6 linked regions of the Macaca mulatta genome follow. The protein of the gene in region 3 purifies or fractionates together with the protein of the main gene of each other region. This does not show direct contact. Links are inferred from orthologs where the notes say so. Each region holds a gene or a part of one and is shown on either strand. Other genes may lie near its edges.

Evidence for each region.
Region 1: the proteins of EXOC3 (region 3) and EXOC8 purify together in Homo sapiens (affinity purification with mass spectrometry; 5 studies listed by BioGRID and IntAct, counting the BioPlex papers as one, with this or other methods). This does not show direct contact. The link is inferred for Macaca mulatta from reciprocal best matches to the Homo sapiens genes EXOC3 and EXOC8.
Region 2: the proteins of EXOC3 (region 3) and EXOC6B purify together in Homo sapiens (affinity purification with mass spectrometry; 3 studies listed by BioGRID and IntAct, counting the BioPlex papers as one, with this or other methods). This does not show direct contact. The link is inferred for Macaca mulatta from reciprocal best matches to the Homo sapiens genes EXOC3 and EXOC6B.
Region 4: the proteins of EXOC3 (region 3) and EXOC7 purify together in Homo sapiens (affinity purification with mass spectrometry; 5 studies listed by BioGRID and IntAct, counting the BioPlex papers as one, with this or other methods). This does not show direct contact. The link is inferred for Macaca mulatta from reciprocal best matches to the Homo sapiens genes EXOC3 and EXOC7.
Region 5: the proteins of EXOC3 (region 3) and EXOC1 purify together in Homo sapiens (affinity purification with mass spectrometry; 5 studies listed by BioGRID and IntAct, counting the BioPlex papers as one, with this or other methods). This does not show direct contact. The link is inferred for Macaca mulatta from reciprocal best matches to the Homo sapiens genes EXOC3 and EXOC1.
Region 6: the proteins of EXOC3 (region 3) and EXOC6 purify together in Homo sapiens (affinity purification with mass spectrometry; 6 studies listed by BioGRID and IntAct, counting the BioPlex papers as one, with this or other methods). This does not show direct contact. The link is inferred for Macaca mulatta from reciprocal best matches to the Homo sapiens genes EXOC3 and EXOC6.

Annotation. Positions count from the first base shown.
Region 1 is NC_133406.1:17,695,224-17,699,511, reverse strand, and holds EXOC8 (exocyst complex component 8), read right to left. Parts: upstream 2,801-4,288; 5' UTR 2,711-2,800; coding exon 533-2,710; 3' UTR 204-532; downstream 1-203. Other genes in the region: DNA-dependent metalloprotease SPRTN, read left to right, coding at 3,355-3,575. UniProt on the Homo sapiens protein: Component of the exocyst complex involved in the docking of exocytic vesicles with fusion sites on the plasma membrane.
Region 2 is NC_133418.1:52,234,098-52,237,597, forward strand, and holds part of EXOC6B (exocyst complex component 6B), read left to right. Parts: intron 1-1,074; coding exon 1,075-1,158; intron 1,159-1,511; coding exon 1,512-1,558; intron 1,559-2,930; coding exon 2,931-3,051; intron 3,052-3,500. UniProt on the Homo sapiens protein: Component of the exocyst complex involved in the docking of exocytic vesicles with fusion sites on the plasma membrane.
Region 3 is NC_133411.1:1,553,441-1,556,940, reverse strand, and holds part of EXOC3 (exocyst complex component 3), read right to left. Parts: intron 2,336-3,500; coding exon 2,218-2,335; intron 1,318-2,217; coding exon 1,192-1,317; intron 1-1,191. UniProt on the Homo sapiens protein: Component of the exocyst complex involved in the docking of exocytic vesicles with fusion sites on the plasma membrane.
Region 4 is NC_133421.1:85,822,251-85,825,750, reverse strand, and holds part of EXOC7 (exocyst complex component 7), read left to right. Parts: intron 1-1,743; coding exon 1,744-1,849; intron 1,850-2,484; coding exon 2,485-2,636; intron 2,637-3,500. UniProt on the Homo sapiens protein: Component of the exocyst complex involved in the docking of exocytic vesicles with fusion sites on the plasma membrane.
Region 5 is NC_133410.1:77,601,710-77,605,209, forward strand, and holds part of EXOC1 (exocyst complex component 1), read right to left. Parts: intron 3,384-3,500; coding exon 3,156-3,383; intron 2,953-3,155; coding exon 2,820-2,952; intron 2,188-2,819; coding exon 2,078-2,187; intron 1,272-2,077; coding exon of another isoform or gene 1,218-1,271; intron 1-1,217.
Region 6 is NC_133414.1:104,902,644-104,906,143, reverse strand, and holds part of EXOC6 (exocyst complex component 6), read right to left. Parts: intron 2,824-3,500; coding exon 2,714-2,823; intron 456-2,713; coding exon 344-455; intron 1-343. UniProt on the Homo sapiens protein: Component of the exocyst complex involved in the docking of exocytic vesicles with fusion sites on the plasma membrane.

The sequences.
Region 1 (4,288 bases), on a different chromosome or scaffold from region 3:
ACACTAGCCTGGGCAACATGGTAAAACCCCATCTCTACAAAAAATACAAAAATTAGCTGGGTATGGTGGTGCCAGCCTGTGGTTCCAGCTACATGGGAGGCTGAGGTGAGAGGATTGCCTGGGCCTGGGAGGTCAAGGCTGCAGTTAGTTGTGACGTTGCCACTGTACTCCAGCCTGGGCAACAGGGTGAGACCCTGTCTCAAAAAAAAAAAAAAAAAACCAAAAAGTGTTTTATCAAAGGATGAAACTGAAATGCTATAGTGTATAGTGTGACCATAATTTCAGAAGAGAATCAGCATAATTTAAAAGGATAGCTAGCATACTATATGTTTTAATAATTCCAGTATTTTTGTTATTTGGGCTTAATTTAACTTCTTTTCCTCTTTTTGATTTTTGTATTCTAAGAGGGCACTTTTAATTTTCAAGTTGTGTTTGAAACTATAAAGAGTATGCTAATACAACTTAATATAAATATAAATAATATATAAGCGCTCTCTCTATATATATACATACATATAAACAGACCCAAGCATTAGACCACTGATGTTGTACTTTCAGGATTCACACGAATAAGTCTAGATGCATTCCTCAGATCTTGGAGTTGCTTGGCAGGTTTCCCCACACCTTCTTCAAACCTTTTCTCCACCACAGGGAGGACTGTTTCATATAAGAAGGATGCATTCTGTCTGATAAAAGCTTTCTTCTCTGGATCCTGCTCACATCGAAGACTATAATCCACATGCTGAACAGCAACCAAAATGATTTCCACCAGGCTCTCCAAAAGTACCATGTGCAGCTCTGGGAAATACAGCTTCAGAGCCTCTTCCAAGAAGCCCATGGTCTGTTTGGTGAAAGCAACCACTGTGTAACTTAGGTTCACCCAGCAGTCATGCCCTGTGTACTGCTCAAAGTTACTTACCCCACAGCTTTTCATCTCTTCTTTGAGCTTCCCCAGGGCTTCTGGCGTCATCAAGTTCATCCTTCTCCACATCTCTTCAGAGTTGCGATGTTTAGTGGCTTCAATGATGATTTCTTTGTAACTGTGCAAGGCCCCTTGGATGTCTTTCACCAGAAGGGCATGGATGATGAAGGTGAGGTCCAGTCCGATATCACCCAGTTGCTGGCAATGCTCCTTAGCCACTTTTACACACTCAGCTGCTGTTGAGAGGCTCTCCTTACTATCAAACACCTGCTTGCTGAAAGCATCCACGAACATGCCCATGGCTGATCTTGCCCAGACCACAAAGGCGGAGTAGCAGCCGCTGTCAGTGCCTGCAAAATCAATCTCAAATTCTCTTGCAGTCTCAAGAAGGCTGGTAAAGAAGACATGGCACAGCTTATGAATATAGAGTAAAGTGGCGCCTTCAATGCGAAGCTGACGAATTGCTGTATGAACAGCGGCTGCCCTGTTTCTCAAAAATAGCTCACAGGCCTTCGTGCACTGGCCCAGCCGGATCAGTTGCGAAACTGCTCTGCGAGTAGCCTTGGGACCACCTCTCAGGGAACGATCTGGGGAGAGTTCGAAAACCAGCACCTCAGTGAGCTGTCGAACTCGCTCCTCCACTTTGGCCCTTAGTTCTTTTACAGGAGGTGGGCTAGGCTTATCTTCCAGGTAATGGTTCAATTTATCCAGCAGGTCAACAGCCCCTTCAAAGTCCCTCTGCGCAATGCAGACATCCAGGTCTTCAGGTAACTCCTGGATCCATTCCATGGAGAGGTCCACGTTCTCTTCCTCTACCTCAGGAACAGCTGGCTCTTCTTCTTCGTCATCCTCAAATGGGTTAGTGGCCTTGGAAGTCACTTGGGGTGGCCCTCGAGGGGCCGCTGCCTCCTCCTGCTCCCTTCGCCTTTTCTCACTGAGGGCTCTCTTGGTCTCCTCCAGCACTTCCAGCCACTCTCGTTTTATTTTAGCATTTTCGGCCTGGAAAATACGGCTCTCGGGGAACATAAGCAGCTTGAACATGTCCTTCATGGGCGGGTTGTCCTTGACATTGACTACGGCCAAACCATCTAGGGAATAGAGAGCGTTGTAGCGATACATCCCCCGCCGCTGCGGCAGCCAGGTAGCCACCAACAAACAATCGTTCATGAGAAAGCCGTGCACCCGCTGCAGTTGGGCCATGTGGTCGGCATCGTATTCCACTAGGTCCCCGTTGTACACCAGGTACTGTCCCGGCGTCTCCAGCAAATGCCTGCAGCCTTCCACCTTCTCAAGCAGGGTGGTGAGAGTGCGCTGCTTTCCTTCCTCGCCTGGACCGGAGCCGTCGCGGGAGGCGCCACCGGGGGTGGAGAAAAAACCGGCCTGGCCTCGGAGGTGGTCTCGGCCCCCCGCCCCACCGACTCCCTCCTCCCCGCCAGACGCGGCAGCGGCTCCGGCGGCAGCTGCGGCAGGCAGCAACGTAAGCGGGATGCTCTCCAGGCTGCTCTTCTGCTCCGTCAGCAGGTGGCTGAGCTGGTACATCTCGCTCTCCAGGTAGGAGATCTCACGGGCCGTCTCTATGAACTGCCGGTAGTTCTGGTAGACGTTGCGCTTCAGGTTCTGCGCCGTCTCCTCCGCCAGCGCCTGGATGCGCTGCCGGTGCTCCTGGAGGTCCCGGTCCCCATCCGACTGCTGCGAGAGCTGCTTCACGTACAGCCGCGCCTCAAAACCCCCTGACTCCAGCTGCCGACGCAGGCGGCTCGCCCCACTGTCCGACATCGCCATCGCCATTTCCGTCCGGGTCTCACGCACTCACTGTCACTATCGGCGCCGCAGCCGCCGCGGCTGTCTACACCCACCCAAGACCCACCGAGCTCCTGGGCTGAGGAAGCAGGAATTGGAACAAGACGAGTGCGCCTGCGCCGGGTCTGAGCGTCAGACACTGCGCCTGCGCAAGGGGCCAGGCGCAGACATTGCGCCTGCGCAGGAATGCCATCAGTTAAGGCGCATGCGCCGGAGGAGCTAGTGCGGAAGTGAGTGGAGAGGCCGAGAGCAATTTGAGTACTGCGCATGAACCGAGCGTGACGTTGAGGTTTGAAATAACCGGCAAAGAGTAAAGGCTGGAACTAGCTTCCTGAAAGCTTCGTAGGGCCGGTGCCCTGTGAGCCCAGGTTCTGCGCCCACTAGGAGGTGTCGTGCTGACTGCTTGTTTTAAAGCCCTAGAATCTTGGCTTCGGCGTTTGGGGTAAGCGCCGTTCTCGTTCACGTTCTCTTTCTCAAGCGAGTTTCCGCGAACTCTCGCGGGATTGACTGGCCGTCTCGAGAGCCGGTATCTCCTAGGAGCTAGTCCTGGTCCTCCGCTAGGCGGCTTGGGGTCGCAGCCTAACTCGGAGCCAGCCTGACACCGGCGGATCCCGCCTGTGATCCTGGCAACGATGGACGATGACCTGATGTTGGCCCTGCGGCTTCAGGAGGAGTGGAACTTGCAGGAGGCGGAGCGCGATCAGGCCCAGGAGTCCCTGTCGCTAGTGGACGCGTCGTGGGAGTTGGTGGACCCCACACCGGACTTGCAGGCCCTGTTTGTTCAGTTTAACGACCAGTTCTTCTGGGGCCAGCTGGAGGCCGTCGAGGTGAAGTGGAGCGTGCGAATGACCCTGTGAGTTCCGAGCCCCGCTGGGGAAAGAGGCGGGACTGGCAGTTCTCCTGCAGCCCCCGGTCCTGGTCTTCTCTCCTTTCTCTGGTCCGACGGTCCCAGGGGGCATTAAATGAGGGGGGAGTCTGGTTTTGGACCTGGCAATTCCTGCCTTGGCGTATTTCTCTTTTTCTTACCTTTTCTCCCACTCGAAAAATAAGAAAGCTGTGTAGACCCCACCGCCACGGTTGGACTCAGGGCCCTAACGAGAAAAGAGATTTGTGTTTGAATCTCACTAAACTTGAAAATAACAAGTTCCTGATTTGCCTTATGATAGTGCTGTAGGACCCTGAAGGGAAAAGCAACCAAATCTGCCCCTAAGAAAGTGCTGAGGACGCAGAGTAACCTCCAAAGGATGTGCGTTCCCCTCCTCTCTTTCCCGTTAGGAACCCACTTTAGTGAGCTCGTGTGTTGCAGTGGGGATCTTCAGTGATGCTTTTAAAACGATTCTTTTTCTACATGCTAAATTTGAGAAATCCTTATTTGAAATAATAATCTACTCCTGCACGTGAATAGGGTGAAGTTTAAGATACAGTTGTATACCACCAGCATGCTTGTTTTTGAGTTGACAGAAAACAACCTACAAACAAATTAAGATATCATATTAAATTGTGTTTAAAGTACCAATCTCCTTTATACAGGCGTCTGTTATCATTTTGGAGATACACTATTGGAGA
Region 2 (3,500 bases), on a different chromosome or scaffold from region 3:
TTTGTATTAGTTTCCTAGAGCTGCTGTCACAAGGCCCCATAAACTGAGTGGTTTAAAACAACAGAAATGTGTTCTATCCCAGTTTTGGAGGCTAGAATTCCAAAATCAAGGCATCGGAAGGACCATTTTCTCTCTGAGACTGGGTAGAATCTTTTGTTGTGTTTTTCTAGCGCCTGCTGGTGATCAACAATCTCTGATGTTCCCTGGCTTGCAGCTGCATCACTCTATTCTCTGCCTCTGTCATCGCATGGTGTTCTCCCCATGTGTCTCTGTATCTATTCTTTTCGGCTTTTCAGGACACCAGACATACTCTATTAAAGTCCCACCCTCCACTGATAGGATCACATCTTAATTTAACTAATGACATCTACAATGGCCCTATTTCCAAATACAGTTACATTCTGAAGTTCCATGAAGGACATGAATTTGGGGAGACCCAGTACACAACTCATAAGTCAGATATTATTCTGTAGAGCACTTCTCATTTTAAGCCCAGAAACCCTAAATTAAAAGTGGGAACTGTGCACCAAGAATCTTCATGCTTTTGTTTTTTGTTTTTCGGGTTTAATCCTGTGCTAGATTATACCCTAAGGGGGAATACTAATTTATTGTTCTCAATTCCTGCTTTTTTTCCTGCTTCCCATTGCCTCTTTGTTCAGGATTCATTTGAAAGCTGGTTTTTATTCTGGACATTTTTCTTCTGGAATGTTCTGTAGCTTTTTTAAGGAAAATTTTTCTTACCTGTTATCATAACTTATGGAAAGGTTGGTTTCCCTTCATTCTTATGAATTTGAGACAGTAGATTCAGAAACCAGCTTTGGTGTGCTGGTGATTAAGTTCTGGTAGTTTCCTTATAAGGATATTTTGTATACACCCTTACAGGTTTGTAAGTCAGGTTCAATAAATGGTAATAGTTATTTTTATTTTCTATTGTTATCATCAATGTTAAAATAGCAGATTTTGAGAAATGTGATACTACCTCAAATTCCAGACCTGGGACCTTGTCTTTTCCCTTGAAATATAAGAGTAATTGGTCCAATTGTGTCAACCCATTTTCTTTTCTTTATTTTACAGGGTGCCCGGGAAACATTTGAGAATTACTACCGAAAACAGAGGCGAAAACAGGCTCGTTTGGTACTTCAACCTCCATCTAACATGGTAGGATTACCATTTTCACTTTTCTCACATTTTTACTTTTCCTCCTTGATGTCTTTTGATGCTTGTGTGTGTGTGTGTGTGTGTGTGTATACACTGTCATTCTGAGACCACTTTTGGTGGATGTGACTTGCAGTAAGAAAACATTATTCATTGATTGCTGTGTGTCAGGCACTGTTCTAAGTACTGGATGTGTGCTGCTGTATTTCCTCTTCATTGGTAGATAATATTATTATTTTTACCTTATCAGATGTCATGTAGGGAGCTGAGCCTTAAGAGATTAAGTGACTGATTTTAACTTAGTCTTAATGTTACAAAACACAAACAGTAACTTCTTCTTCTTTGCTTTGTTGCAGCATGAAACTTTAGATGGCTACAGGAAGTATTTTAATCAAATTGTAGGGTAGGTATATATATATATATATATATATATATATTTATTTATTTATTTATTGAAATTTATACTCTTTCCATACATAGATTTGTGAGTGTTGGAAAAATAAATGAGGTTTTCCTTAGTAAATTCTTTTCATTTTTTTTTTAATCCTTAAGACAAGATTTGTTTTTGATTTTCTAATGATTTAAAAGGAATATCCTGCTGGTTTCAACATTATGTTGCTGGAGGGCATTTTTGTGGATAAAGTGAGAAAAACATTGAATTGTAATCTTATTACACTTGATGTTTTGTTTCTTTGTTTTTGGTAGATGGAACCAAATAATCAGCAAAAGTTGGCAAACTTTTCCCAAAACGGCCAGATAGTAAAATATTTTAGGCTTAGTAGGCCATATGATCTCTGTCACAACTGATTAGCTCTGTTGTTACAGTGCAAAAGTAGCTGTAGACGATACATAAATGATAAGCATGGCTATGTACCAATAAAACAATCTTTATAAAACAGGCAGTGGGCTAGGTTTATCCCATAGGCTATATAGTTTGCCACCCTCTTCTAGAATATATATAGTGGTATGGAATTGCATTTCCCAAATAAACATCCCAATACAGGCATCTTGTTCTAATTGCAAAATAATGACTTTGCAGTTAAAAGAAAAGGAAATAACTTGGATTCTTCATCAGGTTTATTTTTTTCAGATTTAAATTGTTTCAATGTAATTAGTTATTAAAATATATCATAAAAATTCCCTAATAAAGACTTTTTTTCATTAATATGAACATTTAGACAAGACAATGAAAGCTACATTTTAAATGCATAATAACAAAAAGCCACAACAAGATTGTTCAAACATAACTTCGCATTTTTGAAACCTTTATACAATGCCTTTTCAGCACTTTGGTGACAGAGTCCACATGAAGGGAATTATTTTGATATTTTGTGCATTGGATTCTTAAAAGATATATATAAAGAATACATAATATATATGATGTATATATTAGCTTTTGTGATCTCTTTAAAATTTGTTTTTTTGAAATGTATTGATAGCTGGGTATTTTCTTAATAAAACAAAATTTGCCTCCATTACCTCTACACATTTTCCTCCCTTTTAAACTACTGGATATCATTGTTAACATTTAATAGAAATTTAATAGAAATGTAACTCTAATCTCTCTAGGAGTGGTTATGAAGATATCATGATCACAGACATAATTTTTAATCCAAGTAGCCTGATTTCATTTATGATACTGAATAACTTTCTTCAAGAAAGAAATGACCACTAACTTTGCCTTTGATGGTATCTCTTAATGCTTGTCAAACCCCAGAGAGAGTAATAAAATTGTAATTTCTGACAGCTGTGCTTTCTTTTTTCCTCAATCTTAGCTTTTTTGTGGTTGAAGATCACATTTTACATACAACCCAGGGCTTAGTAAATAGAGCCTACATTGATGAACTGTGGGAAATGGCACTTTCAAAAACGATCGCAGCACTCCGTACCCACTCGGTATGTAAGAAGCCCAAGGGAACTTGTTATTTAGAGCTGATTATCTATATACTATTCAGTGTTTTACCGCTTTAAAATCAACATATGTGTGTCTTTGGAATCACTCACTTGGAATTATATATGTCCTTCAAAGACATAGAAGTAGCTCCTTCAGATTATCACATTTTCTACCACTGAACTCACTTTTATAGAAGCCCTTTGCAATAAGAAAATAGCAGATAACGTCTATTGATTATTCTCTCTATGTGTCAGATGTTGTTCTGTTTACTTCATATATACTCTCTTATTTCATCCTCACTAAACCCTAGAAAGGTAGGTATTATTATTATTATTATATTTACCTTATAGTCTGGGAAATTGAACCTCAGCGAGGTTAGGTAACCAGCCTAGTGCCATACAGTAAGAAGTAGAAGTCGGATTGAAACCCAGATGGTCTGACTCTAGAGCCC
Region 3 (3,500 bases):
AAAACAAAAAACAAAAAAACAAAAACAACTTTCTCACCTGGGAAAGTACCAAGTGACTTATTTCTTAATTCCTGGCAAACTGCTTTCTCCCATGGGGGCCATGTCAGTCCTCACACTACGTGACTGGAGTTCTAATGTGTGGAGTGAAGCCTCACCAGGGATGGCGCCCCTCAGGCGGCTGACTCACCTTCCCTGGCCCTGTGACCGTCATGATGCAGAGTTCCTAAGAATCTGGACCTGGGGTGTGCCAGGCCCTGCCAGCAGCTGACACAGGCAGAGGAAGGACAAGGGGACAGAGCTCACTGGGCTCTCCTCACAGAGTTTCTCACAGCATCCGTTTCCAAACAAAGGAATGGGTTTGGACTAGCCTGTCAATAACCAACGGTATCATTCAGAGAGAAATGTCACCCACCAGCCCTCACTCCTGCCTGACCAGAGTCCTGAGTGAGGATTCTAACACAACTGGGCTCCATCCCTCAGCAATGCCACTCAAATTAAAACACATGATGAGCCAAAAGAAAAAAAAGCAGGAAAAACAGGACACAGGGTGGTCAAACACTAGAAAGTGAATCCGTGGTGAGAACACACTGGGTCTAACACCTAGTGAGGCTCGGGCATTGGAAAGTGAATCTGTGGTAAAAATGCAAGTGAGTCTAATACTTAGAACCTTAACCAACGAACAGGAAAGCAACTTTGAAAGCCAATGGACGCCGTGACCCACCAGGTGGAGGTTGCAGTAAGCCAAGACTGTGTGCTACTGCACTCCAGCCTGGGCGACAGAGTGAGACTACGTCTCAAAACAAATAATGGACGCTCCCAAAATCTACCTGTTTAGACTCAATCATGTGCCATTTTTTAGGACAAATCCTGGATATCAACCAAACAAACTCACATTTGAAAGTCGCACATAAATAACATATAATTAGGCTCTAGTCCAAACCCATAAAGACCCAGTCAGAAAAGTAAAGTGACCTTGGGCAAAACTATTTGGTAAGTATCGTCCCAGGTTTCTGCAGCTTCAGAGAGAAAGAGACAGAGACAGCAGAGGACTTAGATGCACCAGGCAGGGCTCTCAATATTTTCACCACACTCTGCGGATGAAGATCCCGGGTATCTGTGTCACTCTGTAAAACCTATAGGTCCTACTATCCACTAGGAAATGGAACTGTGCCAATCCCCTGCATTTGATACCTGGAAGACGATGGCAGGGAGTGTGGTCTGGTAGTACCCATCCTGGTCGGCTTCCGGTTCTGTATCTTTGACCCAGTCTTTCTTGTCTGTCTCCAGTGCTTTCCGCAGCCAGGCGATGATGTTTGACTAAAGGAAGTTCAGCATGATGGAGAAGAGAAGAGAAGAGAAGAGAGAAGAGCAGGTGCCTGAGGGTCATGCCAATCACCTGGTCGGCTGCATGCACAGCTCCAGAAACCAGACACACGGCACCAGAGTCCTCGTTCCCAAATGAGGACTCCAGAGCAGGGACCCAGGAGCCACCCCCATGGGAGGCAGGGCCCACGGCAGCCTGCAGGGATTTAACTGGAACCTTTGTACAGATAAAGAGGGAGAAGAAACTAGATGCCCTTTTGGCTGCACCTCATGCTGGAGGACAAGGCCGCTGAGTCCCAGGTGTACAGAGAACGAGGCTGACCAGGTCCAGTCAGGTCCGGTCAGGCCTGTTCCTCTGCCCAGACTCAGCAACCACAGCAGCTCATGTCCCAAGAGAAGACAGCACTCCTTCCCCAGCTCCTGAGGACACCTCTGCTTCTGGTCACAATGCTGCCTTGCTAGGTGGACACACCCTTGTCTAAGAAGCAGACCCTGCTGACCCCCTCCTCTCACTCTGAGACCACCTGGTGGTCACCAAGCTGCAAATGGACTTGCCCTTTGGTCCTTGACTGACCCCCCCTGACCCTGGGACTCAGAGCCGAGAGCTGGCAGGTGCCGCCACACACGGTTCAGACATCCTGGGCCCTGGCCAGCCTGCCGAGGATGGCACAGGCTCACATCTCCAGCAGAGGACAAGCTTCGGATCCAGGCCCAGATCTCCTCTTCTAGCAAACGGACCTGTCAGGGCCTGGAAGCAGAGCCTGGGCAACTGAGCAACGTACCCTAGGAAGTCAATGCGAAGGCATTTCCCACCCTGCCTCCTGCCTGCTGCCAAGCCCAATTACTTGTACAACCAGCACGGTGGTCTATGGCACGCAGGCCGGCCCTACTCACAGTGAGTGTGGACATGTACGTGTCAAGCAGCTCAGAGACCACGTGTGCAGAAAGCAATGGCTCCAGGGTGCCGACATCCACTTCCGGGGCCAGCTCCGTGTTCCTCATCATCTCCGTACTATGGGAGAACCAGGAACGTGAATGACAAACCACGACAGACATAGAAGAGCACATCCAAGTGTGTCGAGGCTGTTTCACTTGACACATGAACGTCCACCCACCCTGGAGACTTCCTGGTCACAGCCGGCCCACGGCTCAGAGGAAAGTGCAGGGCAGGGGTCGAGGGCTTTGGGGTCTCCGTGGGGTCAACCCACTGGCTCTGAGACCACGTGAGTCCCTCCAACCCCAGCCTCACCCTGCTGTGCCAGCTTCATAAGGTGCTAGGGCTCAAATGCGGAAGAGACTTCCCTGTGGGGAAGACATGTTCTATTCACTGCACTTCCAGAGCCAAGGCAGGGCCTGGCAAACAGGAGGCACTGAATAAACAAACGCACTCAGTCAAAACAACAACAAGCACAGCCGGCCCCCACAGCCATGGGCGCCATGTCCACTGACTCAACCAACCACAGACTGAAAATATTTGGGAAAAACAACAATAAAAAATAATAAAAATTTCAAAAAATATAGTCCAACAACTATTTTCATAGCATTTACACTGTATTTAATTTTATAAGTAATCTAGAGATGATTTAGAGCAGGAAAGAGAATGTACACAAGTTACATGCAAACACTATACCCTTTTATAAAGGGGACTTAGGCTCCAGAGGATTTTGACAGTCAAGGGGACTCCTGGAATCCCTCCCTTTTGGGTATGGAGGGGCAGCTGTGCTGTACTTTGGAAACAAGCCACTGCAGTCAACATCACTGTGCTCTGCAGAGGCTGATGACTGGAAAGCAGAATACAGGACATTACTGATAAAAATGTATCTGCAAGAACAGCCTAAACTACATCCAGTCTACTGCCCAGAAGACAGGAAATACGTGCTACACTTCAGGAAAAGTTTTCATTAAAAAGTTATTATCAGCCGGGCACGGTGGCTCAAGCCTGTAATCCCAGCACTTTGGGAGGCCAAGGTGGGCAGATCACGAGGTCAGGAGATCAAGACCATCCTGGCCAACATGGTGAAATCCCGTCTCTACTAAAAATACAAAAAAATTAGCCGGGCGTGTTGGCATGCGCCTGTAGTCCCAGCTACTCAGGAAGCTGAGGCAGGAGAATGGCATGAACCCGGGAGGCGAAGCTTGCTGTCAATCGAGATCACGCCATCGCACTCCAACCTCGG
Region 4 (3,500 bases), on a different chromosome or scaffold from region 3:
GGGTTTCCGAGCTGTCAGGCACTGGTGGGCTCAGGACCGATGTCAGGCTCTAGGGAGTCAGGCTCCGTTGACGTCGGTTCCCACTTCTGAGGAGAGGGGCAGGGAGGCCTCCCAGGTGGTGAAGCACTGACCTCAGCATCCCTGGAGGTAATTGGGCGCCTGACGGGTTTGGCGGCTGCCAGATCTGCATCCCTGACCCACGTCCTGCCGGCGTGCACCTGCGTCCGCGGCTGCTCCGGCTGCTCCTGGTGGGTCGTGGGGCGGGAATCCAATTCACTCATTAGTGAGCCTCGCTCGCTGAAGGGGAGAGCACGAGCAAGGCAGATGTGAGCCAGGCCGCGGAACTTGGTTATTAGGAGCTAATTATGGGCCGAGTATGGTGGCTCACGCCTGTAATCCCAACACTTCGGGAGGCCGAGGCGGGCGGATCACCTGAGGTCAGGAGTTCAAGACCAGCCTGGCCAACACGGTGAAACCCCGTCTCCACTAAAAATAGAAAAAAAATTAGCTGGGTATGGTTGCACACGCCTATAATCGCAACTACTCAGGAGGCTGAGGCAGGAGAATTGCTTGAAACCAGGAGGCGGAGGTTGCAGTGAGCCGAGATTGTGCCATTGCACTCCAGCCTGGGCGACCCAGCAAGACTCTGTCTCAAAAAAAAAAAAAAAAACAAAAACAAAAACAAAAAAGCTAATTGTGATGTCATGCGGTGCGGCGCAGTGCAGTGCAGGTGTAAGCAATGAGCCTCCAGACACTGCCCTTTCTGCCTCAGCTTTCTGGGGAGCTGCCAGGACACAGCAGCCTCACTGCTCAGATAGACAGTAGGAGGGTGGAGGGCATCCCGGGTGCCTTCTTGCCCCCATACATTTTGTTAACAAGGCAGCTGCACTTGTCTACTTGAGATGCAGGTTTATTTCCCCACGTTTTCTGGCCCAAGATGTCTCATTCCCATAAAGGAGGCGGACTCAGGTGGCTGTGGGCGCTACCATTTTGTTCTCATTGTTTCCACTTGTGATACTAACTGTTGTTTTTTTCCCCATGCCAAGAGCATGTGCCCTCTCCTTCTGCGCACACCCTCCAGGTTCTCTGTGTGGTGACTTCTGTTAACCCCTTCTTGACTTTTGGATTTTTTCTTGTCCCTTTGGTTGTTTGGGGAACTCTAACGTGTGGGGCTAGGCTGCCTCTGGGTCTCTGAGCCGTCCGCCTTGGGCACCGCGCTCCCCGGAAGTTCAGTCAGGGTGGCTTCCTGCTGGCTGCTGTTTGGCGTACGTCCCAACACTGAACGTGCTCGGAGAGCTCTGCCTGGAGTTTGGGGCTGGGCTGGGGGCCTGCTGGCTTCAGGGTACCCCCAAGCTCTGCCACCCTGGTTGTGCCCTCTTGGTGTGCAAGCTTTGTCACTGGCTCCTCCAACCTGAGCCCTCGCCTGTTCTGACTACAATGCCACTCGTATTTTTGACTTCTCCTGGTGGATCTTGTTCCATCTTCATTATCCTCTGTCCTTTCAGAAATGAACTGAAATCCAGAACAAGGAGGGTCAGTAGTAGAATCAAGGCTCCATTTGGAGAAGGAAATTATTCTTTTCCTTCGCCTTTGTCCCCAGGGTCTCTGGTGGTCCCAGGGAAGGGCCTGCTCACTGTTGGGGGGCTGGGTGTGGGGCCTGGGGGCAGGTGGAGGGCCGCTGCTGTTTTCTCTCACTCATTTCCTAGGTCTTCTTATCTCCTCTCTGTGTGGCTCTGGTGACAGGGACGATCCGTAAGGCTCAGAACCTTCTGAAACAGTATTCCCAGCATGGTCTAGATGGGAAAAAGGGGGGCTCTAACCTCATTCCTCTGGAAGGTAATCACCCTGTGTTCCCCTCCTGTCCCTTCCTCCTCCACTGTGTGTCCACGCACTTGGCAGGGCAGAGCCTCCCCCAGGAGGGCCTCGGGAGAAACCCTGAGGGGAGCAGGGTGGGAATGGCAGGTCCCCAATGCCACTTGGGCTTCAGCAGGCGCAAGGACAGTTTCGCGGCCCTCGGCCTGGTCCTCTCTGGCTGATGGCAGCTCTGCCCTCCCTGGGGCTCCCTCCTCCCTCCCCTGTCTCTGTCCTTGTCTCCTGTGTGAACTCAGAGAAAGCTCTTTGTCTGGGGCAGCCTTTCACGCTCAGACCCACAGTGGCAGCCCCAGCTGGCCGAGGCCTCCCCTCTTCAGAAAGGGGAGTGTGTGCAGCAGGCGACAGGCAAACTGGGGCTTTGCGCAAATACGGCAAGGTGGGGAACCCCCCTGGGGTCAAGCATCAGCTCTTCAGCCCCTCCTTGGTCCTTCTCCGCTTTCCCTGGGCCTCCAGACTTGGGGAAATGAGCAGCTAAGGACGGTCCTGGGTGCTCACTGAAGTCAGGCTTGAAATGGCTGTTCCCAAGGTGGCTTGAGGTAGAGGAGGGGCTCAGAGCCCTCTCTGATGCCCCCTTCCCCATCCCCATCTGACATCCCCCTCCTGGAGATGAAGGGCTTCTCCCTATACCCCAAGGGGCGGCCTGCCGGGCCCCTGGATAAACACTGCTTGTGTTTATGCGGCCAACATCTCGCCAGGTCACGAGCATGATTTCCGAGTTAAGCACCTGTCCGAGGCCTTGAACGACAAGCACGGGCCACTGGCCGGTGAGTACTGCAGCCCAGCCCGAGGGCAGCTGCTGACACTGCCTTCGCAGCGGTCCCCGGATGGCCTGCTCCTGTCTGGCCCAGCCAGGCCCAGTCTGCTCTGAGGATGGGCCAGGCCTGTGCGCCTCTCTCTCCACTCTCTTTTGGGCCTAGGTCTCCTTGCCTCTCTCCAGATGGGAGTGCGTGCCTGGCTCTCAGGCCTGGGCCAAGGGGAGAAGCCGCTGCTACTCAGAAAGCAGGCAGAGAGGGAAGGTGGCTCCCTTGAGGGCAGGGAGCCCTGACGTCTGCCTCCTGCAACAACTCAGAGCTCTGATCCCCTCGGAGCCCATCCCTTGGCACATAGGACCAGGCAGTTCTGCCACTGGTTTTGTCCACAGGCGCCCCCACTGTGGCCTCCAGTAATAGGATCTGGCCTTCTCCTGGGGCAGCTGGCAACCCCTCCTCTCTGGGACTTACCAGCCTCTTCTCAGATTTTGACCCCATGCCAGCCAGCCTCAGAGGCTGCAGCCTACCGCCCTCTTAGATGTTCCAGAAGCCCTGGCTGGGCTGGTCACTTCCTTCGCAGGCCCCACATTTGCCCACATGGATGACCCCAGTGCCAGCCTCCTTGAGGTGGCACAGCCACCTGCCCACCCTGGGCTGCCCTCTTTCAGGTACAACTCAGAATCCTCAGTCCTGGGGTCAAACTACCTTATCCAGGATGTTGATTCAGTGATCTTCCCTCCTTATCCTTCCGTCCATCACCCTCCTGCCTCTGGTGTCTGATCCCACTGTCTGCGCAGAGCTGAGAATGAAGCCAGAACAAAGGCTGGGCTCAGCTCCTATTGTTCCCCTCGAACCTGGCGGGGCCTGCTGGTGCCCTTG
Region 5 (3,500 bases), on a different chromosome or scaffold from region 3:
TTAGTCTTAACTCCTTACAAAGAGTAAGTACATTAGTTTTAACTTCTTCTTACAAGCATCTTGAGGGTACGAACTATTTCTTATTCTCACATATGGTAGACAGTGAGTACATAATAAGCATACAATGAAAATTTTGTGATTGCCAAAGAGGTGCACCATATTATTTTAATCAACTTTCCCAGCTTGTGCCCCTACCAGGAATAGACATACCCATGTTTCTCAACAATTTTGCTAGGTGACCTGATGCACTGAATGCAACACTAAGAAAATCTCTTTCTTATGCGTGGGATATCTTCTTCCACCTTTTTTGGCACATCCTAGGTTGTCACAGCATTCTGGTATTTAACATGCATCATTCACATGTAATAACACATATTAGCTTTTCAGAAACGGGAAGCATTCATTTTAAACGAAGCCATTAGTTTACAAGGCAAGAAGCAAAATCATAAATAACTGCAGGTTACAACAAACAGTTAAGGGTACAGAAAAGACTATTGTTTATTGGCTGATATTTTCAATACTATCTACAAATGTGGATAACATAATTGTCAACAGTGTCATTTTTACAAACTAAGGAACTGTATAGGAATAGATGTTATTGTAGTAATTACCTAAGAAAAACACGAATTAGTAGTTCCTATGTGACATCTAAGCTTACTTTTTTCTTGACACTTTTCAGGTCAAGTGGAATGTTAAGGGAATTTCTCTGATTTCCCCTTACTGTGCTTTTAGTTAGGTGGTCTTCCTTTATGCTCCCACAGTCTCACCACCGTAACATTTATCCCTCTTGAGTATATTATTTGTTTGTCTCCCTTCCCTAGACTGTGAACTACCTGAGGACAGGACTGGTCTCTCATTTATCCCAAGTCAATGTCTGGTATGTACCTCAACCACCTGGCAATACTAAATAAATGAAGGAGTAATATTACTATTATTACTAAATGAAGAATACTACTACTATTTATTACTAAATAAATGAAGTGAGTTGAAAAAATGACAGAAAGAAAAGCAAGCAGAATGAGATTAAATGCCTTTTTGGCCCAAATAGTCTCTACTATGGGACATTAAAAACCGGCTACGAATGTGGTTAACAAGTAGCTTAAATCAGTAAGTTATAATCTGTAAAGATTCTGCTGCTGTTAAGTTTAGCAAACTCTATAGAAAAAAAAAAAACAAAACAGAATCAGAGAAGCTTGAGCCAAATTTGATGTACTCACAGGAACCGAAAGAAAGTAGGACCTGTTATAGAGTTGAAGGAGGGCCTGAGTAAACTAATTGGAAATAAAATATAGTAAATACAATTGTTTTAGAATATTGCAAAGTGAAAATAAAGTAAAAATCCACTGTTTTCAGGCAGTATTTCTTGATGAACAAGATATCCCCCCAATTTTTTTTTCATTCAGTAACTCTAATAAAATAAAAGGGACTTTTAAAAGAGATGAAAAAATAAGAAACCTAATTTATTACATTAGATATTAAAATGGCTTTTATTCAAATCTCCCAAAGGTACTCTTAATATTTTTAATAACAATATTATTACCACACTCTTAATTATAACATCCTTCTCCATATAAAAATATAGGCAAAGCATTTATATGAAGATTAGATCAACTGAAATTTATGGTTGAGCCATAGTCATTTTCTTAACAAGCATACTATGTTCTAAGTACATAGAACTTACAAAACATTTAAGACACTGAATCAAGTCCTAAGTCTCACCTCAAAATATTGAAAAATAAAACAAGTCCAATAGTAAACATCTAACAAGTTTGGACTTACTTTTATAAGTAAAAATATCTAAGTAGTATATGCAATTAATATGCACAGTTATTTGATTTCTAGAATCAGAGAGCATCAGCTGAAGGGAACTAGACTGTCTACTGAAAGAGGCAGCTGAGGCCCAAAATACATCTATGAGCAAAGAGGCACCTATTTCAAAATATTAAAATCAAATATGTGAAGGAATTGATTGCAACCCCAATTAAACATTATTAACCTTTTTGTGGAAATGTAAGGTTAAGATAATACATAAATAAGCTATAGGAACATGCTCGTCTTAATAATAAAATAAAATTACCTGTTGAACAAAAACATTGTTGAGGTGACTCGCCAGTCTCCGGGCAAAAAGCTCTCGCAAATCACTGAATCGCTGCTGTTGCTGTTTGACTGCCAGAAGCATGTCATGGCCTGATACAGAATGACATTTTGTGACCAGTTTAACGGGTAAAAAGATTTCCTTGATGTTTAATGGAACATTAAACATATCTAAAGTTTTGAATAACCCCTAAGTTGTATGGGTGTATTCATTTACCTGATAAAAGTTAAGCAGGAGAAAAATGGGACTGCACAGTGGTTCTCAAAGTGTGGTCTTGCCTCACCATCGCCTGGGAATTGTTAGAAATGTGGATTCTAAAGCCTCAGCCCAGATCTGCTGAATCTGGGGCTGGAGCCAGGCAATCTATGTTTTTAACAAGACCTCTAGGGATTCTGATGGACACTCAAGTTTTGAAATCCCTGCCTAGAAAAACCTTACGCTCTCTGGTCTAACCAAAGCACCTACTTTCTGCTGGGTTCTGCGGATAGTACTAAATAAAGATCCTGGTGTTGACTATAGTCATTGAGGTCAACTAGAAGGAGGAACTGAAGTAAAAAAGTTCATAGTATCAATAGAAATAAGCGGGAAATCAGTGAAACTTGAATAGCTAATAATGTAACCCTAAACCACTTGTCTCACGTATTTCTTGTCAAAATCTTTATAACAAGTTACAGGCTTAGTCTCAGATTCTTGGTCACATTTTTGTCATTTCTAATGAACATACCTGGTCGAAGAGCTACATTCATGCACTGCAGAAGGGCATCAGCAGCATTGGTGCAGGCCTCAATGCCTCTGGAAGAAGCAAGATCTCCTTCCTGAAGGGCCTTTATATGACCTTTGGCCAAGTCCATGTGGTTCTAGAATATATGCAAACATACCATTTGCATGTATAATTCTGGGAAATTTACAGGCAAGATGCTACTCAATCCTATCATTAGGTCTTTGGAATTAATTTAAATCCTGTTCTCATAAGGAAATTAGAAAATGTTTACAAATGGGTTTTATATATCATCACTAGTTTTTTTTGTTGTTGGTGGTGGTAATTTATGATCATACTTACCACAAGGAACTCTATCTCAGATAGGAGTTTTACATTATTAGTGTTACTAAGATGAATTAGGTGGTTGCTTTCAGAGATCTGATCCATTTGTTCTTTTACACTTTGGAGCATTTCTTCATAACTGCTCAGCTTCAATTCAATCTGATCTACCTCCTTTAGAGCCTCATCTAGCAATTTCATCAAGATGTTGACTTGTTTTTCAGATGCCATGATTGACTGGATGTTAGCCTACAAAGTTAAAGACCAAAACAAGCAAACAAAAAACACAACATTTCATGTTACTTAAGTGTGTAAAAGATTAAAGGTGAAATGTTGCTAAATTTCCTTTAAAGTAGAGTAACAAAA
Region 6 (3,500 bases), on a different chromosome or scaffold from region 3:
GTAGCTAGGAATACAGTTGCACAATACCACGCCTGGCTAATATTCTTCATTTTTTGTAGAGACAGGGTCTCACTATATTTCCCAGGCTGGTCTCAAACTCCTGACCTCAAGCAATCCTTCTGCCTTGGCCTCCCAAAGCTCTCAAATTAGAGGTGTGAGCCACTGTGCCTGGCATCCTCACATTTCTGGAATTTACACTGGTTATTTTCATTTTGAAAACAAATCTGCTTACATTAATACATTTAAAACAGGAAGCTAGTTTTACAAAATGATGTTCAGCAATAATTTAAAATAATTGTTTCATACAATGAAACACTTCACTATATGTGTCTTTTTAACCTACCTCTGTCAAACCTATATGAGGTTTTCTAATAAGGTTCAGTAAACAGCTACTCAAAGTTCTGGTCAGCAGCAGATTTGTTGATTTTCTAAGCATATCGTCTATTTCTGTTGAGCTAAACAGAAAGACTGATATTATTAAACTTTTTACAAACTTTAATAAAAAATAATGAATATGGTTAGTTAACATCCTAAATAATTTAACACAATTTACTAAAATAATTTTCCCCAAGTCATTAATTTATATCCTTAAATAAACTACAATGACCCATATTTATTAAATCGCAAACTTCAATTTAACTTTGCAAAAGGGACATTTTCCATAAAGTAGAATATTCATATATGGCATAATTTAAATGTATCCAATTAACAACTACAGAAAAATCATGGAGGACTTGGTATAAGGAAATAAAACTATTCCTAAATTCCAACTCCATCATGGGATAGTAACTTTGCCGTTTTATTATTTTTATTATTGTTTTTGAGCCAGGGTCTCACTTTGTCACCCAGGCTGGAGTGCAGTGGTGCAATTATAGCTCACTGTAGCCTCAAAGTCCTGGACTCAAGCGATTCTCATACTTCAACATTCTGAGTAGCTGGGCCTACAGGTGCATGCCACCACGCCCAGCTAGTTTCGAATATTTTATAGAGACAGGGTTGCGCTATGTTGCCCAGGCTGGTCTTGAACTCCTGGACTCAAGTAATTCTCCCACCTTGGACTTCCAAAGTGCTGGGATTACAGACGTGAGCCACCGCGCCCAGCCCCAAAAGACAGGCACTTTGAAAGAAACTTCCTACACAACTACAGCTAAAAATTATTTTTAAAATACAAACTGACATGAGCTCTTTCTAGATATAATTAACAAATTTAATTTTTAATATAACTAAGTTATACATTTTCATCAAGATTTTTTAAGTCGTCAAAGAAATAAATTACCTTAAACTAATTTTAATATGATGTTTCTTAACATCCTAAGTATTACTAAGCTAGCACTAAAAAACAAATTCTTTTCTCCTAACCATTAGGCCTTCAATTTAAGTAAATAATGATTCCTTGGATACAGCCTCATTATCACAACAGTTAAACTGTCCTTAGACCACGGACTATCCATCTCGGCACTATTGACATTTTACGGTGGATAATACTTTGTTGTGGAGACTGCCTTGCACATATGGATGTTTGGCAGCACCCCTGGCCTCTATCCACTAGTTCCAAGTAGCGCCTCTCCCCCGAACTGTAACAACCAAACATGTTTCTAGACATTGCCAAATTTGTGGGGAGGAGGTGGTGGCAGGAGAACCAAAATTATCCCCAGTTGAGAACTACTGCCTTAGATATAAGCTAACATTTTTGTATCCTTTTACTTTTTATTAAAATACTACTTTTAAAACTCTGTGGGCCAGGCACAGTAGATTGTGCCTGTCATCTCAGCACTTTGAGAGGCTGAGGTGGGTGAATTGCTTGAGGCCAGAAGTTCGAAACCAGCCTGACCAACATGGCAAAACCTCGTCTCCACTAAAAATACAAAAATTGGCCAGGTGTAGTGGCGTTAACCTGTGGTTCCAGCTACTTGGAAGGCTGAGGTGGGAGGATCACTTGAGCCCAGGAGGTCGAGGCTGCAATGGGCCATAATTGTGCCACTTCATTCCAGCCTGGGCAACAGAGTGAGATCCTGTCTCAAAACAAAACAAAACAAAAACAAAAACAAACAAAAAGAACTACCATTCAACCCAGCAATCCCATTATTGGGGATATATGCAAAGGAAAATAAATCATTTTACCAAAAAGACACATGTACCCATATGTTCACTATAGCACTATTCACAATAGCAAAGACATAGGTGTCTATGGCAGCACCCCTGGCCTCTACCCACTAGTTCCAAGTAGCGCCTCTCCATTGATAGCAATGTTGGATTGGATAAAGAAAATGTGGTATATAAACCCCATGGAACACTACACAGCCATAAAAAAGAACAAAATCATGTCCTTTGCAGCAACATGAATGCAGCTGGAGGCTAATAGCCTAAGCAAACTAATGCAGAAACAGAAAACCAAATACTGCATGTTTTCACTTATAAGTGGGAGCTAAACACTAGATACACATGCATGTAAAAATGGAAACAACAGATACTGGGGACTACAAGAAGGGGAGGCAGGGGTTGAAAAACTACCTATTGAGTACTGTGCTCACTACCTGGGTGACAGGTTCAAGCATACCCTAAACCTCAGCATTCTACAATATGCCCTTGTAACAAACACGTACCCCATGAACCTAAAATAAAAGTTGAGGAAAAAAAAGTTATGACATAAAAACAAAGTATTAATGTTTCATAAAAGTTATGACAAAAATGCATTTGTGATTAGTAAACTTACCTCCGGTGTAGTGACTCTGAAAATTTAAGGCTGGCATAAATAAATTCTTTAACTTGAATGTAAATATGAGGCACTGACTGAGACATGGGGAATTTCTTTGGGAAAGATTGCTGTAGAAAAAGAAAGTTAATATTGTTTTAGAAATTTTAGAAAAAGACATGCTATTCACTAAAAATGTAATTAAATTGATTTCACACTTGAATAGCAAATACCTGCATCAAAAACCCTGTTATATTTCTATATTTTTGATATTTTATCAAAGTATTTCTGAAGAAAATAATGTGGCAATTTACCCTTGTTTCTTAAATCATACTATCAGACTTCCAACAAGCAGAGAAAACACATACCAGTACCTCTGGTGTATTCTGACGATGAGTATTCTGTCTGTAGGTGATGCCTAGCTGTCTGCTTCTTTGTGTATTTATCATGCAAGAGTCAGGGTGGCCATGAAAATTACAGGCCAGCTTTCTGGCTCAGAGTAATTAAATAATTCTAAGACTCTCTTCACCTACCTTCAGTGAAGGCTTGATGCCACTTCAAGAAGTTATCGAGTTTATTCCATTACTCCTAGAATACCTTATAGCAGGTTTCTGACCTCCATGCCATTAAACACTGGTATGCAGCCAATGGCTTACAGGGTGCTTCCTGGCTAAACTACTTTATAAGTCATTATCCATTCGAAATTCTGAGTCTCTAAAAGGTAAACTCCTTCTAAGATTGTTACCAAAAAAACCCTTTTTTCTATTTCATTAAGTCTAATATACCCTTCTATCTTCACCTTCATTGC